Linked DNA regions of Styela clava. The protein of the gene in region 2 purifies or fractionates together with the protein of the main gene of each other region. This does not show direct contact. Links are inferred from orthologs where the notes say so. Each region holds a gene or a part of one and is shown on either strand. Other genes may lie near its edges.

Region 1 (8,374 bases), on a different chromosome or scaffold from region 2:
AGATTACTGTGGCTACAATGAGCTCGTAAGATCATGATCAATCTGAAGCAGTATTATTTAAACCTTTGGTTGAAACTTTAAAGCCAAAGGCATTTGCTACTAACAAACTCGTATTGGAAGTTTGTAGTAAAACTGGCGTCACTGTTTTCAAATTGCTGTTTCTACATATTTTATATTATGTTAATTTAATAAGGGGTTACCTTCATTCTCAGGTATGGTATGAGCCAACCGAAGAACATCTTTGTGTGTCCAGTGATTGTAACGTGGACATTTTGTTATTGATTTGGCGACTTCTAGAGGTGATTTTCTTTGATACCATTTCTGGACAGCATTTCTATGCGAACGACTCCAACCGGTAGTTTTACGTTTCGCTAGGCAGATCTTTTCATGAAAGTCAACAAACTGTAATTATATAAATAAAGAGTTATTTTATAATAAATATTTATGCAGTGAATAAAGTCCTGTATAAAAATCAAGTCACATGTGAGAATGCCCAAGCTCATATTCAATTTCATTTGGCTTCAAAAAGTTTTTTTATGAATAATTAATTACAACATTTAAGAAAAAATTCTAAAATTCCATATTTGGCAAATCCTTGCAAAATAGTTTATTTTATAAAAATTCGGCAAGAAGGATCTGTGGAGTTTGGAGTTATTGACATAAATAATAGTAGTTAGAAGCTGAGTAAGAGGTAGGCTCCATGCATTGGAGATTCAAAATTCTTTATATAACTCAAAAATCGTACAAATAGCAGTTTCATCATATATAGATAAAAAAAAATGCCCACATTATCGCAAGTTTTTGCTATTTGGTTTTCTCTGAAGAAACTTTTTTCAACAAATCTGAATTTTTACCAAGCTAGAGTTGTTTCGGAGTCTGATATGAATTTTCCCCAAATAAACAACCATGCTACAAGTCTAGGCCCTCTCAAACTTACCCATGAAAATAACAAATTTGCCTGAAAATACAGGAATTTCAAACGACTTTTCATACACAACTAACTTTGAATTTATTGAATTCTTCATACATCTTATGTAACAGTAACACTAACTTCAATGTAAACATATTATTACTAGAAATCTAGCATTTACTTTATTAACACCAATTCAGTTTCTGTTAAAAGACAAGAATCACAAAACATCATATAAAATAATTTTTGGGATATATTGAATGCTATTAAGAGTAGTAAACTGACCTGTAAAAAATGTGACGATTGATCACAGATTTCATTCACAAGACCGTAGGCTTTAGTCTTCACCTCAGCATTTTCCGAACAAGTACATAAAGTCAATGCATAAACGATAGCTTCATATTTGACTGAAGTACCTGTAGAATAAGAGTTATTCTCATAAGATATCATATTCTCATATATATCTCATAAGTTTGGAGAAAAAATTATCCTAAATATAACAAAGAAATGAGCAATACACATGATTACAAAAACGAAATTGCAGCAGGTACCAGAACACTTCTTGAATGATAATATGCTATGAATCATGTCTTTAAGATATTATCATATGATACAAAACAAGCATTAGCATATTGCTTCAAAAATTGAAATAGAGAATGTACGAATATCATATAGGTTAGATTTATAACGAAATTAAATACAGCTGTGAATCCTTTATAACATATTTCAAATAGGTTTGTTGACTTTTATCACCTTACGTAAAACATGGTACTTTAAGATTGAATGAATGAAAATGATACAGTTAATATTCCATAGATCTGGTGTATTTCTGGGAGTCCCCAACCATGGGAAATAAATTCAAGGTCATACTGACATGATATGTGACCTTATCGCAGCAGTGCTAATGTTGCTGTTTTAAGTAGGCTACATGTTTTGTTAATATTTTAGGTATTTTGGAATGTGCAAGAATGAATTAAAATATTCACCATTGTTCCTTTTGACAAAAAGTTTGGATACTCCAACAAATGGAGAGTCAAACACCAATCCTGAACGAAATGTGTTCGACTACCGATTTACTGTATGTATGCAACTTGAAATATGGTCTTATCAAAGAAGTGCTAATGTTGTGGTTTAGGTACAGATTTTGTTAATATTTTGGAATGTGCAAGAATATATCACAACGAAGATCACCTTCAGAAAAAACCTTGTATATGGTGTTTACAAGTTCAATTCCTTTTCCATCTTCGATTGTTTGAAAAAGAAGTTTATCAATTTCTTCTGAATTTATTCCAGTTAAAATTGATGAATGTTTAACCATAGAAGACGTGTTGCCATTTAATAAAAATCTCCAAACTTTGCTGTTAGAAGTCACCTGTGGTAAGAGAAAAAAATCTGAATTACTTCATAAAATATTGCAGTATTGACAATACGTATTGCCTTTTGTCTTTATTCAGAGATATTTCACATAGGCTAATCATAATTTTTGCAACATAGTAGTAGTAGTATTTTATTTCGTCAACAATGTCAAATAGTATACATACAACATTTCAAAATTATTTTCAAGGCATTGTGACGAGGATGTGACGAAGCGACCGTTAGGTCATCGAGTTAGTCACAACCTTTAAAAAAATATAAAATTACCATTTTGTCAACGAAATTGAGCTAAAGTAACACACACTGCAAATAAATTTCCACACAAGAAAAACAAAAAGAAAACAAAAACAAAACTCAATTGAATAAGTTAAAACCATACTATGTCGGATGGCATAGGCACAGTATAATTCATGCCTAGTCCAACTCTAGAAGGGAATAATGGTCTTTTACAGTTAAGGTTCTATAGTAGAGTCGTATATTTCACGTAAATAGGACTCCAAATTCGCTGATAATGCCAGTTCTATAAATATCATCGATTTCCACATTTAAAATCGTTGATGTGATTGAGACAGGAAATGAACTAACAATAAACTCCCTTATAATGGCTTAGTATTAGTTTATCATGTACTTTCAGTCATACATTCCATCCCTGGCCCTGTGATTTTATTGAAAAATATGATATGACTGCACCATACTTGGAGTAGGTATAGAGAAATTTTAAACGTGAAAAAAAAAAAGTAAAATTAATGGTAATTTTCACACGTAACGGCGCGCATTAGAATGTTTACGTCTTTCTACGCGCATTTCCGTCGAAAAAATAACATTTTTTGCATTGAGGGGGCATGTGAAGAAATAATTAGAGGTGTGACATCATCAAAATTGTCAATTGAAGCCTTGAACTTGAAAATTCTTCAAATACAATTATGAATTTTAGAGTTACCATTCTTGCTATAATAGTGGTTTTGGTGTTCTGTTGGAAAATAACACAAGAACACGTTGAACATAATGATATAATTTTCCATATTTGCATTAATAAAATCTCCCTATTATAAAAAGTTAGAATATAATTTAATTGTACCGGTACCCGGTACTGAATATAACTTATAAGCTATTGCGAAGCTTACCGGCCATTTGAATTCAGTGCTTTCGTCCGGCCTCAAATTGTCCGCTAGCACCCCCTTGTCTTCTTGTGCGCTATTTGCCATATTTTTTTTAATCCTCTCATACAATCAATGCCGCAAAAGCCTGTATACGATTTTAAAAGATTAAAAACCAATGTAGTCGCTCCAGACGCATGAAGTCGCACTGAAATGACTAAAGTTGGAATGCAATTAATGCGGACGAAGCATATCCGCCACAAACTGAGAATGGGGAGAAAACAGTATCGGTGTCGGTAATATTGTCACTGAAGCGTAGCCACTCACGTGGGTTCATGATTATGCTGCCCGGCGGAAAGTGGGTGTGTCCCCCGACTTTTAGCGGGTGTGTCCGACTGTCCGATACCTTGCTTTCGAATTGTCGAAACTTGCGTCTTGTCAGTTTGTCGTGTTGTTCGAGCTCGCCGTAACTTCTCGACTAAACTGGTACCGGTACGGTATAACTTATAAACATTCAGACATTTGGTGAATTCAAATGATTAGAAAACAGTTACCGGTACCGGTATCTAATATTAGGTACCGGTACGTACCGGTACCTACGTCGTGAAAGTGCCTAACTTCGTTTTGTCGGTACCGGTACGGTACGGTACCGGTATACCGTATGTTTGTTAGCTCTAATTTCAGACCAGCTAGATTTACCTTTACGGAGATGTTTTGTGCTGATTTTTCAGAGATTTCTAATATTTTACCGGTACCAGTTTCCCAAATAACCTAATGGTGATTCTTGCTTATTTAGAAAAGTAGAGGCGCAGTTCTTACCACTTCATGGCAGCTCCTGCCACGAACGAACCGCGGCAGCTCTTGCCATAGTCTTATAGCGCTATTCTGTATTCAGTAATCAGTATTAACGGTATATTCACAAACTAATGTACCAAATTCTAATTGATCATGCGGAAGTATATCTACTTAAACCCTAACCCTAACCCCAAATCCATCAAGACTGTATTCATAAGAAAAACGTTCCAACTTACCCAATATTTGTCACCATAAGGGACAGCCCTGTCCTTACGGCCCACCTGCCGCGGTTACGGCAGCAAAATTTTACCTGCCATTGGTTTTCAATTTGCTGCCGCGGTAACGGCAGCTCGACATTGGTTTGTGGCAGCTAAAAAGTCAGTCGCCATAGGTTTGGCCGTAGCGGCTATGGTATGGAAATACCGCCATGGTTTTGCGGCAGCTGCAGACGCCATGGAATACTTGAAACTGCACTTGGAAAAGTAGGTAAGATAAGATAAGGCTGGGGTATTTTTGTTAGGAATCGTCCTAGCCTAGTTCAGAAATTAGACAATTTGCATGACTGTGTCTTGCTAAGATTCGCTGTCGGCTTAGGTATTATTGTAGGCAAATCAGATAAATTTTTGTTGTCCCTCATTGAAACAAGGACAGTTGTTGCCTGTAGGAGTAGATGATACCCTTTAAGTTTTATTTGAAATTCAAAAATAGTTTTTTATTTGTTGTCCGAGGTTGAGTTTAAAATATATTATTTGTGGTAGTCTATCTCTACACAATAATACTATCTGGCTATAACATTGGAGAGGGATTAATTTGTCAGCTGCATAAATTGTTGTTTTAAAAGTTTCCATGAACTGTTACATATTGATCAACTTTTTCTATTTGAAAAAGAAAAACGGCGATTTTGCAATCCTTTATAAAAATGCAGAAGTATGGTACTGTACCTCACAGTTTTGGCATAAAAGTGCGCTTATAGTGAACACTACGTCAGATTCCTTTTGATGATGCATATTACTAAAGGACTTTACAATATACACATATATATTATATTCTCTTATCTTCTAGGAAGTTTTGTTGTATTTACCATTTAAATACTAAATTACATGTCACTAAAAGCCATAGCTAATCTTTGAAAAGCAAGCTGACGATTCAAAATTTGCATTTAAAAGATAAGAAAGCTATAAGCTGATCATAAAAATATTAAAGCTATTTACTACATTTTATGACAATGTTCGGGGTGCCAAATGAAAATATTTTCTAATATTCTTAGATATTCCGCTTCTTGGAAAATTATATCAACCAGTAAATTATGGAATCCGCTGTTCATAGCAACATTAGATCAAGGCTAAATTTAATAACCAACAGTAAAGATGTACCATATATTTGCCAACAATGTGAGAAGAACTTCAAATCAAAGCAGAATTTGAACAGGCATATGAGAATGCATACCAAAGAGAAACCTTTTACTTGTAAGCAATGTGGAAAGTGTTTTTCACGATTATACCATTTACAAGTGCATGAGCGAACTCACACTGGAGAAAAACCTCATGCTTGTAAACAATGTGAAAAGCGATTTTCGCATATATCTAATTTACTTAAGCACGAACGAACTCACACCGGAGAAAAACCCTATATCTGTAAACTTTGTGGAAAGGATTTTTCACATTTAACTAATTTACGCAAGCACAACCAATCTCACACTGGAGAGAGACCCTATATTTGTAAACACTGTGGGATGCGTTTTTCACGAACATCTCATCTGAATTCACATGAGCGAACTCATACTGGAGAAAAACCGTACGTTTGTAAACAATGTGGAAAGAGTTTTGCACGATTATCTCATTTACAAGGGCATGAGCGAACTCACACTGGAGTAAAACCTCATTCTTGTAAACAATGTGAAAAGCGCTTTTCAGAATTATGTGCTTTACGTGTGCATGAGCGAACTCATACCGGAGAAAAACCTTTTATTTGTAATCAATGTGGAAAGAACTTTTCACAGTGGTCCAATTTAAAAGTGCATAAACGAACTCATACTGGAGAGAAACTGTAAGTTTGTAATCAATGTGGAAAGGCTTTTCACAGTGGTCCAATTTAAAAGTGCATAAACGAACTCATACTGGAGAGAAACTGTAAGTTTGTGATCAATGTGGAAAAGGCTTTTCACAATTGGACCATTCGTGTACATTACAAGTGTAATTCTTTCAAACTATGTCAGAAAAATTTTACACAAAAGGGCATCAATACGAAGGAATTTATTGATTTGTTGTGGAGAGAAACCTTGTACGTGTAACCCATATTGAAAAGCAGATTAAAATCCACATCAAAATTCACAGACAGTGTGCACCTATGAGATAACTTATATCTTTAAACAATGTGAAAAGAGTTTACTCCAATGGGATATTCACGAAAATATGTCCAAGAATGCAAATAATTGAATTGCAAATCAATTCAACCCTACTTTCATTCCTTTCAGAATGTTATTGTTTGGGAAATGAGTCAAAAGTTGAATTGACAATAAAAACTCGAAAATTAAAGGTTTCTAAAATCAAAATTCAGGAATGTTTTTTTTTTATTTGTGTGCATAATATTATCCACTTGGACAATTTTTTTTTAATTAAGATATTTAGAATTTTCTTATTTTTGCTTGCGCAGTATTCATTTAACATACTATTCCACATTTTCTTACATCAATCTAATTATTCGTGTACTGTAATTGGGGGGGGTGGAAACAAATCCCAAATCATAAACACAGCCCAATCATGTTCGCTTTGACATGAACAGTTTATATTGGAACAGTGGGTCTGCATTACATTACATAACTTACCGATAGATGTCGTAACTTTTTTATCTTTATATATATATTGTTTGTGTGCGTAATATGGGTCAACTGGCATGTATTTCTATGTTTTAGAACCTTTGTTTTGCCAGTTTTCCTGATTTTCCCAATTATTTGAGAGTTCATACTCATAGATTTGTTCTGTATATGCGTTTTCAGGGAATCAAAATATACTTAATATACTGTCATAATGTATGTTGTCATAATGTGAAAGTTTATATTTGTCCAATCTCATCATGCAGCATGTGTTGTTCGAATGTACTTTTGTGATCTGAGTAATATACCGGTATGCATGATTTTCATAAATAGAAGAGAAAAATTTTGGGAAGAACTTATATCATTTTAAATGCTTGCCAATACCCTTTGATCTTATTCCAGATTTATTTTATAATAATATTGTAAAATTAGTTTATTTATGATCCAGTACAATTTATGGAGAAAATTTCTAGGAAATTTTTCTTGCAAATTATTGTTCCTCAGAATCGATCAGTGTTTCTCTAAAACTTTAACAACTGTTGCTACGCAAATCAAAATGCAAACCGACCTTGGATCAAAAATTTTCTGCATTGAGACAGAAAAGGGACCTCTTTATATGAAAACATCAAATAAGGAGAATGTGGATAAGATTGGCATTACTGATAATACAGAATTGCAAACATTGCTAAAGGATAAATCCATGTTCTATTTGTCTGGATTTCTAACCGATAATTCTTTTGCAAGAAATATAAATAGGCATGAACAATTAAAAAAGAGCATTCAAACTCGTATTACTGATAAAAATCAAGTATACCAAGGTATCAGTTTGAACAATGAAAAGGATTTTGAACGTGGGTTTTTTGTGCTGTATGACTCACTTGATAAAGGGTGTGTTGAGAAGCAAATTTCTGATTTGGTATCGCGAAGTGGTGCTCTGGGAAGCGGAGAAGTCTTAAGAATTTTTCCAAGCGGAAATGACGGCATAATTTATGTTAAATTACTCAGTCATCATTCTGAAGGCGGTAGTAATATAACCTTAAATGGGTTTCAATTAATTGCTTCATCTCCAGTAAAGGTCCATCCAGCTTTTATGTTCACTGATACAAATTCAGTATATCATGATATTCAGCGATGTTATGACGTTTTGAACGAATTTGATTCTTTCAATGAAATCATGGAGTTGAAAGCAATATGTGACAAATATATCAAAAAAAATGAAAACTGGATGAAAAATCTCCCATTAAAACCTAAAAACCCTGTGATTGTCATTGAAGGCCTTGATGCTACTGGTAAAACAACACTAACACAAAACCTAGGTGAAAAGCTTGGTGCAACAGTTCTAAAATCGCCACCAGAATGCATCTGCCACCTGCGGCCAAAGTTTGA
Region 2 (8,692 bases):
CTAAAAAACTACATCCAGGAAGCATATCTCGTAGACCCATATTTTGACCACTGCAAAAATCAGCCCCTATACACTATAAAACGTCAAAACCAAGTCCGCCGAATTGATAGGATGTACATTTCCGATAACGCCGAAACTCAAATCAAATCCTGGAGACCGATTTCGAACTTGAACCTTGATTACAAAATACTTGCCAAAATTATCTCTAACCGCCTACGTCACAAATTTGCATCAATAATTCACCCGGCTCAAAAATCCTCCATCCCAAATAGACAGATCTCAGATATTCACAGAAACATAGAAAGCCTAATTAGATACTCCAAAAAAATCAAATTCCAACATATATCCTGACAGTTGATCAAATGAAAGCGTTTGACATGGACAATCATATCTTCATTCATAAGCTGCTAGCAAAAATCGGGGTTGGAACAAGAACATGTAATCTAATAAAATCCCTGTACTCGGACATTAGAAGTACCATAGAAGTAAACGGAGCTTTCACATCTGAGATCCATATCGTGAGAGGTATCCGCCAAGGATGCCCCCTAAGCATGTTATTATACACTTTAAATATCGAACCAATCGCGAGAGCCGTAACAAAAAATATATACATCAGAGGCATCAAACTCGGGAAAAAGGAAGAAAAAATAGAACAATTCGGCCGACCGGCCAAGCCTTGAACATGGAAAAATCACAAATTTTATGTATAAATGAAGAGGCAGAACTGCGTTTAAAGGACAATTGGTTAAATAAATACCGACACGACACCGTCAAAATCTTGGGGGTTTATAACGGGAAAGAGGTAAAATACAAAGTGCAAGATGAAAAGATTCGTAAAATTACCCAAATTTTAAACAACACAAAGTCGCGTCATTTAACATGGCGTGGAAAACTTTTGATAATACAATCTCTCGCTCTACCGTTAACACTACTGGAAGCTAAAACAAGAATAATACCAAGCCGATACCTTAACAATATTCAGTCCATATTTTTTAAATATCTATGGTATCCTGAATACCTAGAGAGTATCGCTCGGAAAACGTTGCTCCTTCCCGTGAGAAAGGGCGGAATAAGTATGATAGATATTAAACTAAAATCTCATGCATGTCTTTTCCAAAAACTGACCACAATACTTAGCATAAATGCCCCAACCGAATTCTGGCACTTCGAGGCGCTATATACTCTCGGCGCGAGAATAAGAATCTTCGACAAGTCGCTATACAACAACTCGGCACCCCATGCACTCCACATTGACCATCACTGGCAGCATATCCTGAATATTGGTTATATTATGGAAATTGGCCAATCCGAAAGGGAAGGAGCAACCTTGCGCTTTCTTTACAATAGGTTGAAAGAAAAGTCTTATGAATTCGACCGAACAGAAATATGTGAATGGCCAAAAATACACTTAGCAGATGACCGACTAAAGCAACACTTTTCAAATGCCGAACGACAAACGTCATATAGGATTAAGAGAGGTGGGTACCTCTTTGGCCACAGGAAGTGGAGGTTTGGTATATTACGAAACAACGAAAACTCTCACTTGCTGAAATTGAACTGCAAATTCTGTAGAGAAAACCCGGATACCACTCCCCACATCTTTCTGAGGTGCCCCCAATATCTAAAGCTTCATAACTCAGTTAGCCAAACACTGGAAATTATAACAGGCCACAAATTACCATTAAGTCGGCAACAAATATTCGACAACACTTTTGAAGATAAATACCAACTTGTTGTACTCAAAATTTTCTCTGTACTAAAATCTGAAGTCATCCAACTAAAAATTGAATTAGACAGGCAAAATAGATATGGAACCGTCTGCGATATAGAAAGTGTATATCAAAGAGTTGGACAACGTAATACTTACGCTTGGATCAGCCCAAATATTTGAACTCAGGTCAGACTGGAAAACTCTACTACTTCAGAACAGAGTAGCGACTTAGCCCCCCCATAATAACTGCATCCCCGCCCCCCACAAACGGGAGCGTAAAACTGCTAATACCATCACAACCCCTACGGAAATGACGAAAAGGTAGCTTCACGGTGGATGTCATGCTGTGCGCGCGCTTCACGTCTTCACACAGTATGTACGGAAGCCAGGGCAGCGGAAGTTGAGCTATGCATGGCATTAACGGAAGCCCTGGGCTAACGTCATGCTATCTGGCAAATAGCATGTACAGAAGCTCGGGGTCGAAGTTTTTACCGTGCAATGCATAGTATATACGGAAGCTCCCAGATATGTATGACGGTCGTGTACCCCGCGACATGACTACGAAGCGTTAGTACCGATGTGACTCGGATATGACGTGTCTTTGAGACACTGATCCGAGACCAGAAAACTCTGATCCGTAAAAGTAAAGAAAAAAAAAAAAAAAAAAGCCGTTTTATGTCCTTAATAGTTGGCCATGTCGTGAGTCTTGTGACAACATGATGCTGATCCGAAATAAGCAATAGTGCTCTGGTCCGTAGAAAGTATTTTCTTCAACATTTTTCAGTAAAAGCGATGCCAAGAATTACGTACGAACTGCGTCCTTTGCAACTTCATTAAGTTGCAGAAAAGATAAGCTCAATTTTGGGAATATACGCTGAATTAAAGGGCAGTTGGCAACGCTAGCTACGACAAAACATGTCATGGTTTAAAAATAGTTTGGAAGGGATTACACTCATTGAGCGACTTATATTTTTGACTGTTTATTTGATTATTTCCTCATTGTTTTGTCTTGCTCGGAAATACAGGCGACATTGAATGAGTTTCTGGAAAGGAACTCAGATATGTCGATATCGAATTTTTTTTTTGCCCTGCTAAAGTTTTAAAAACAGTGACTCCACACCCGATGCCATCAGTAGCCCAATTGGTAGCACATTTTTAAGCCACTAATTATGGTTATTGATTACCAATTGAGATTCCAGCCTACATTTACGAATACCGTCAATCATGTTTTGTCGACGTACGATTGAATCCTCTCATTGGCATACTCGACCAGTGTAACACATGGAAGTTGGTCGCATGATGGTAATGTTCATTTGACGATCGAGTCGTGATTATAGCGCCGTTAGGTTAAGTACTGAGTGGTATAGCGCCGTGGGTCGAAGATAAGTAAGTTGAGGGAGCTCGGACAGTGGGTTGAGGGTGGGAAGTTTGAGGCAGATAGTGCAGTGGCGAGGATAGAAAAGTTGAGGATAAAAAGGTTGGAGGGGATAGGAAGGTTGGGGGAAATAGGGCAGCGAGTCGAGAATAGGGAGGTGGAGCAGTTGGCCGAGGCGAGAGAGAGGGCAGCGGATCGGGAATAGGAAAGTGGAGGGAGATAGGGCAGTGGGTCGACGATTTGAATTGGGATAACTGTATATTATGTATAACTTCACTGGCTCTAAAGCAGGGGTTCCCAAACTTATTTGGCCGCGGGCAAAAATATCAAGGCGAGGATACTCGCGGGCCAGTAAAGCGAGATGACTAAAAAAGGCTGACGTAAAGGCTGGGGTTCAGGGCGCGATTAAGCGCCCTGAGACAATTTTGAAAAATAGGCACCAAAATAGGCTGCAAGATTGATTTTAGATACACCCAGTATCGCAGTTTGTTATGTAATAAAATTCATAAGTATAATAGTTAGGTGATAGAATACCCGAGGAATAACAAGCACGACTTTCAAAAAGGATTTGTAACTGATAACGACTAATGAAGTTACTTGCTCATCTGGAGTACGGCTTCGTATAAATGTCTACTCATATCAAGGTCAAATTTATTTTTTTCCATCCAGTAAAAATAACAAACGAAATTATGAAAAAAGTAAAATTGACACACATTTTACTGGAAAGGGAAATCGCTGGGAACTGATTATCAGGCAGCGACACCCAAGGTTTGTGTGGCGTACCAAAATTGATATCACCACTCAGGTTCTTTCTGCCAGATTATCGGACACTGAAGTTGCAATAGATGTCGTTCACAAAACAATCTTCTTGCGGTTCCAATTATAGCAGAGTAACTAAGTTAACTAACTAGATTAATTATACACCTTAATACAACCAAATACTCCAATACACAAATAAAAACACAGTACAAATACCGTAGGATACATACGTAACACAAGATACGGAATTTGTCTATGACGTCACAGTCATGAACTATTTACTTATAATGGGATACTAAAAACCGGGTAAAACATACCTAGATATACATAAGAATAGCTAGTATGACACTAAAGATACAACACAAATCCTATCTTATCGACAAACACGTAATATACATGGAAATACGCATAGAAATCACACAGGAAATAAACTGCGAAAATAGACTAGTTACGGAAGTGTTAAATACAAGCTAACTAGTGAACAGAGCTATGCCAAACTGGAGAAATAGTAAACCTGTACTACTAATATCATTTTACAACAAGAATTACACAGATTAACGGCACTAAACACTATAATAATAACCTAAAACACAGAGGAAATTCCACACTGCCGGCACTCTGACAAACCAGCTAAAAGAGAAAGTTACACAGTTGCTCACTAATGACTCAAGTGGTAAGAATAAATATGGGCATACAGAATAAAACGGGGTTATAGACGTGGTCGTCTCATTACTCCCCCCTTTTTCAGATGGGAAATTACAACGAAATTTTCCATCTTCAAAATTGAAAAACCATAAAAATATGAAGAAACTGCAAAGAACTGTACACTCAAATGAAATGTATATCTAAAATCAAAACAATCAATTGTTAAAAGTACTATCACAGTCAAATCAAATGTAATCATCCAAATATCTAGGCCTTCGCCTAGTACGTTGGCCATTATCAGAGTTCGCATCAACTGTAACTTCTTCTGGTACAGTGTCTGGCCTTGAAGAGAAAGGTAATTCATCAAAAATATCATGAGCAGCCTGCTCATTATTTTCCATAATAGGTTCCACATCAGGTAAAATGTCAAATCCGGTTAAGTCAATGTCGTTGTCTTCTTCATCTTCATGAAGGTAAGGTCTCAGTTTGTCAACATGCACAATTCGAGAACGTGTTCCCGAATTCTTCTGAATCCTATACAAGTGATTAGGTAAACAGTCCACAATTCGATAAGGTCCAATCCAAGGAATACTCAGCTTACGATGCTTTGGTGGATAATAATACCACACCAATTCATCTCTCTGGAAAGTAAGTGGTTTAACACCCAAATCAAAATTTCGCTTTTGTCTGGTTGCAGCAGCATTTAGATGTTGCCTAGCATGAAGAAAAGCTTTTTCAGTTGCACAGGAAAACCATTCGACAAATTCAGTGTAACAAGGATGAGTTGATGACTCTGGTTTGCCAAACATAACATCAACAGGCATCTCGATTTCTCGTCCAAGCATTAACTTGTTCGGTGAATATCCTGTACTATCATGCACAGTGGAGCGATATGCCATACAAAGATATGGGAGATGGTCGTCCCAATCATTTCGATTCTCATTTACAAAAGCTTTCAACATCTGCTGTATGGTCCTGTTGAAACGTTCAACTTGTCCATCTGAACGAGGATGATATGGAGTTGTTCGAGTCTTTTGAATCCCGTACAATTGACACATTTCTGAAAATAGTTTTGATTCAAAGTCTCTTCCTTGATCTGAGTGGAGAATTCTTGGTACCCCAAATCTCGAAAAGAATTGAGTAACCAATGCATCAGCAGTGGTGTCAGCTCGCTGATTTGGTAAAGCAAAACATTCCACCCATTTAGAGAAATAGTCCGACAAAACCAAAATGTGTTCATTTCCATTTTCAGTTACAGGCAATGGTCCAAGAAAATCAATGGCAATCCTTTCCATAGGAGCTCCAGATATAAGTTGTTTTAAATCTCCCTGTCTTCTTCCGTAAAGCATCTTTGTTGAAGCACAAGACTTGCAAAATTTGCACCATTTCAGAATGTCCCTTTTGAAACCAGGCCAATAAAATCTGCGCCTTATACTCTTGAAAGTTCGATTAGCACCAAGATGACCTGCAGTGCGCAAAGAATGGAGCTTATGAAACAAGTCCTGCCTCAAATTTGATGGAACAATCAATTGGATATGCGATTCCTCCGATTTACAATCAGGAATCCAACGACGATAGAGAAGTCCATTATCTACAAAAATCAAGTCCCACTGCGACATTAAACGTTTGGTCACTGTTGATTCAGGCATGTATTCTTGAATGTCAGGTTTCTGAGCAGTAAGTTGTTTCCATTTCAAAACAGCAGAAATATCTGGATCTTCACTTTGCCAAGATTTAATTTGCTCATCCGTGTAGGTATTTAACCAATTACAATCGGAACAGTCTGACGATGATTGACCGGGCTGTTTTGATATTGCACTTACAATAACATTACTCACAGCCACATCACCATTGGTACCACAATCAGAACAATCTTCTCGCTTGCATTTGCGAACTTGGCGTGACAATCCATCAGCATTGCCATGTTTCACGCCAGGTCTGTGTTCAATCTTAAAGTCATAAGCGCCAAGAGTTAATATCCATCTTGCTAACATTCCTTGAGGTTCACGAAAATTGATCAACCATTTCAAAGCAGCATGATCTGTGCGAATTCTGAACGGTCTCCCGAGAAGAAAATGACTGAAGTGACGAACAGCCCACACCACAGCTAATAGTTCCCGGTGTGTAGCACAGTATCTACGTTGAGACTTGGACATAGTCTTACTGGCATAAGAAAGTACACGTTCATTGTCGTCCTGAACTTGAGATAACACTGCACCAATCCCAAAACCACTGGCATCAGTATCCAATACAAATTCGCCGATTGTCCTCGGAAAGCTAAGAATTGGGGCAGATGTCAGACAATGCTTCAAAATTTCAAAAGCCTTTTGACATTCAGTACCCCATACAAAAGAAATATTCTTCCTGGTCAATCGAATAAGAGGTCCAGCAATCGTTGAATAATCTTGAACAAACTTTCGGTAGTAGTTCGCTGTGCCTAGAAAACTACGAATATCGCTGACAGAATTTGGCGTTTTCCATTCTTTGATAGCCGCAACATTTCCAGGGTCGCAACAGACACCTTCAGATGAAATAAGATAACCAAGATAAGAGGTGCTTCGACGGAAAAGTTTACATTTCGAGGGCTTCAAGCGTAAACCGGCACGGCGAAGTCTTATAAAAACTTCCCGAAGATTTGAGAGTGCCATTGAGAAATCACTACCATGAGCCAAAACATCATCAAGAAAATTGAAACACCCGTTCCACAGTAGATCACCAAGGATATTGTCCATCATCCGTTCGAATGTTGCGGGAGCATTCGCCAAACCGAAAGGCATCACTACAAAGTGAAAATGACCACGGCCTGGGATGCTGAAGGCTGTCTTTTCACGGTCTGCAGGATCAACCTCCACTTGCCAATATCCGCTAGCGAGATCAAGAGTTGAGAACCATTGTGCTCCGTTTAAGGACTCAATGATATCCTCAATACGCGGCAAGGGATATGCGTCCTTGTATGTGACGTCATTAAGCAATCTAAAATCCACGCAAAATCTGGTAGAACCATCCTTTTTAGGAACTAGGACAATGGGAGAAGAATATGGGGAATCGCTGGGTTCTATGACACCCTGAGCCAGCATATTATCAACAGCTTCTTCGGCTATCTTCCTACGTGCCCACCCCATTGGACGAGGAGCCTGCCGAATCGGCTGTGGTGTGGTTGTGATGATCCTATGCTTTGCTGCTGAAGTACGGCCTAGTTCACCATCTGGCCCTACAAATACATCATGAAATTCACAAATCAAATTGACCAACTGTTCACGTTGACTCGGGGTTAGATCCTCAACGGAATTGACCATGTCATGTAGATGTTCTGGTAATTCAGAAGCTATAACCCGATTATCGGATTCGTCAACTTGAATTTGTGCTACAAGTTGAGGATGTGCAATACCAAGCAAAGATCCAGCCCTGATCTTAAGTTGTCTGCCTTTTTGGTTCACCGCTAGAACAGGAACAGTGGACTCTCCTGGATCCACAACAGAAGAAATCAGCTGAATGCCATCAGCGAGGAAAGAAGAATTCAGCGGTTCAACAAGAGCAGCAACGTCAGACAAATTGCTTTTCGGCCAAGGACGACTAAGTTGTGCAGGGATAACAACCTTAGAATATGGCGGTATCGTAATATCTTCTCGAACAGTTACACGACAACACGGTACAGACTTTTCAGTAAACAGTTTGATTTCATGACCCTCTATCATCATGTGTCCAGATGATAAGTAAAGAACGCAATCATGTTCTCGGAGATAGTCCATGCCCAAAATACCATTAGACATACCTAGGTTGGCAACAACAACCGTGCGTCGCGATGCAAAAGAATCAATAGACAAATCAACTTCCAATGTACCCAGTGGTGATAAATCATGTCCTCCCACTGCAACAAGAGATTCTTCGAGCGGTGCTAAATGTGCTTCTTTCCCACCTATAGCCTCAAAGATGGAAATGTCAATCAGAGTAGTCATAGCACCACTATCTACAAGAAAATTGAACGGTTGATTGTTTACAAGTACCTTCGCATGCCAACTATTGTCATATTGCAAGGAACAAATATTCAGGTCTATATTCTGGTTCGTTGGTCCGTCATCAAGTAATAATTCAGCGGACACTGAGGACCTCAAGCCCGCTGAGTGTCGTTTAAATTTGCGGTCGAAGAGGAAGCAGCTGTTGCAGGATCAGCGGGATTCTGAAGATGTGGACAATCCCGTTTA

What was found.
Region 1: the proteins of lupus La protein homolog (region 2) and RNA-binding protein RO60-like purify together in Homo sapiens (affinity purification with mass spectrometry; 3 studies listed by BioGRID and IntAct, with this or other methods). This does not show direct contact. The link is inferred for Styela clava from reciprocal best matches to the Homo sapiens genes SSB and RO60.

What each region holds. Positions count from the first base shown.
Region 1 is NC_135256.1:17,385,457-17,393,830, forward strand, and holds the start of RNA-binding protein RO60-like, read right to left. Parts: upstream 3,674-8,374; 5' UTR 3,490-3,673; coding exon 3,409-3,489; intron 2,283-3,408; coding exon 2,102-2,282; intron 1,327-2,101; coding exon 1,196-1,326; intron 403-1,195; coding exon 201-402; intron 1-200. Other genes in the region: uncharacterized protein LOC120327945, read left to right, coding at 5,483-6,226; UMP-CMP kinase 2, mitochondrial-like, read left to right, coding at 7,428-8,374. UniProt on the Homo sapiens protein: RNA-binding protein that binds to misfolded non-coding RNAs, pre-5S rRNA, and several small cytoplasmic RNA molecules known as Y RNAs.
Region 2 is NC_135250.1:14,843,810-14,852,501, forward strand, and holds the start of lupus La protein homolog, read right to left. Parts: upstream 4,027-8,692; 5' UTR 4,011-4,026; intron 1-4,010. UniProt on the Homo sapiens protein: Binds to the 3' poly(U) terminus of nascent RNA polymerase III transcripts, protecting them from exonuclease digestion and facilitating their folding and maturation.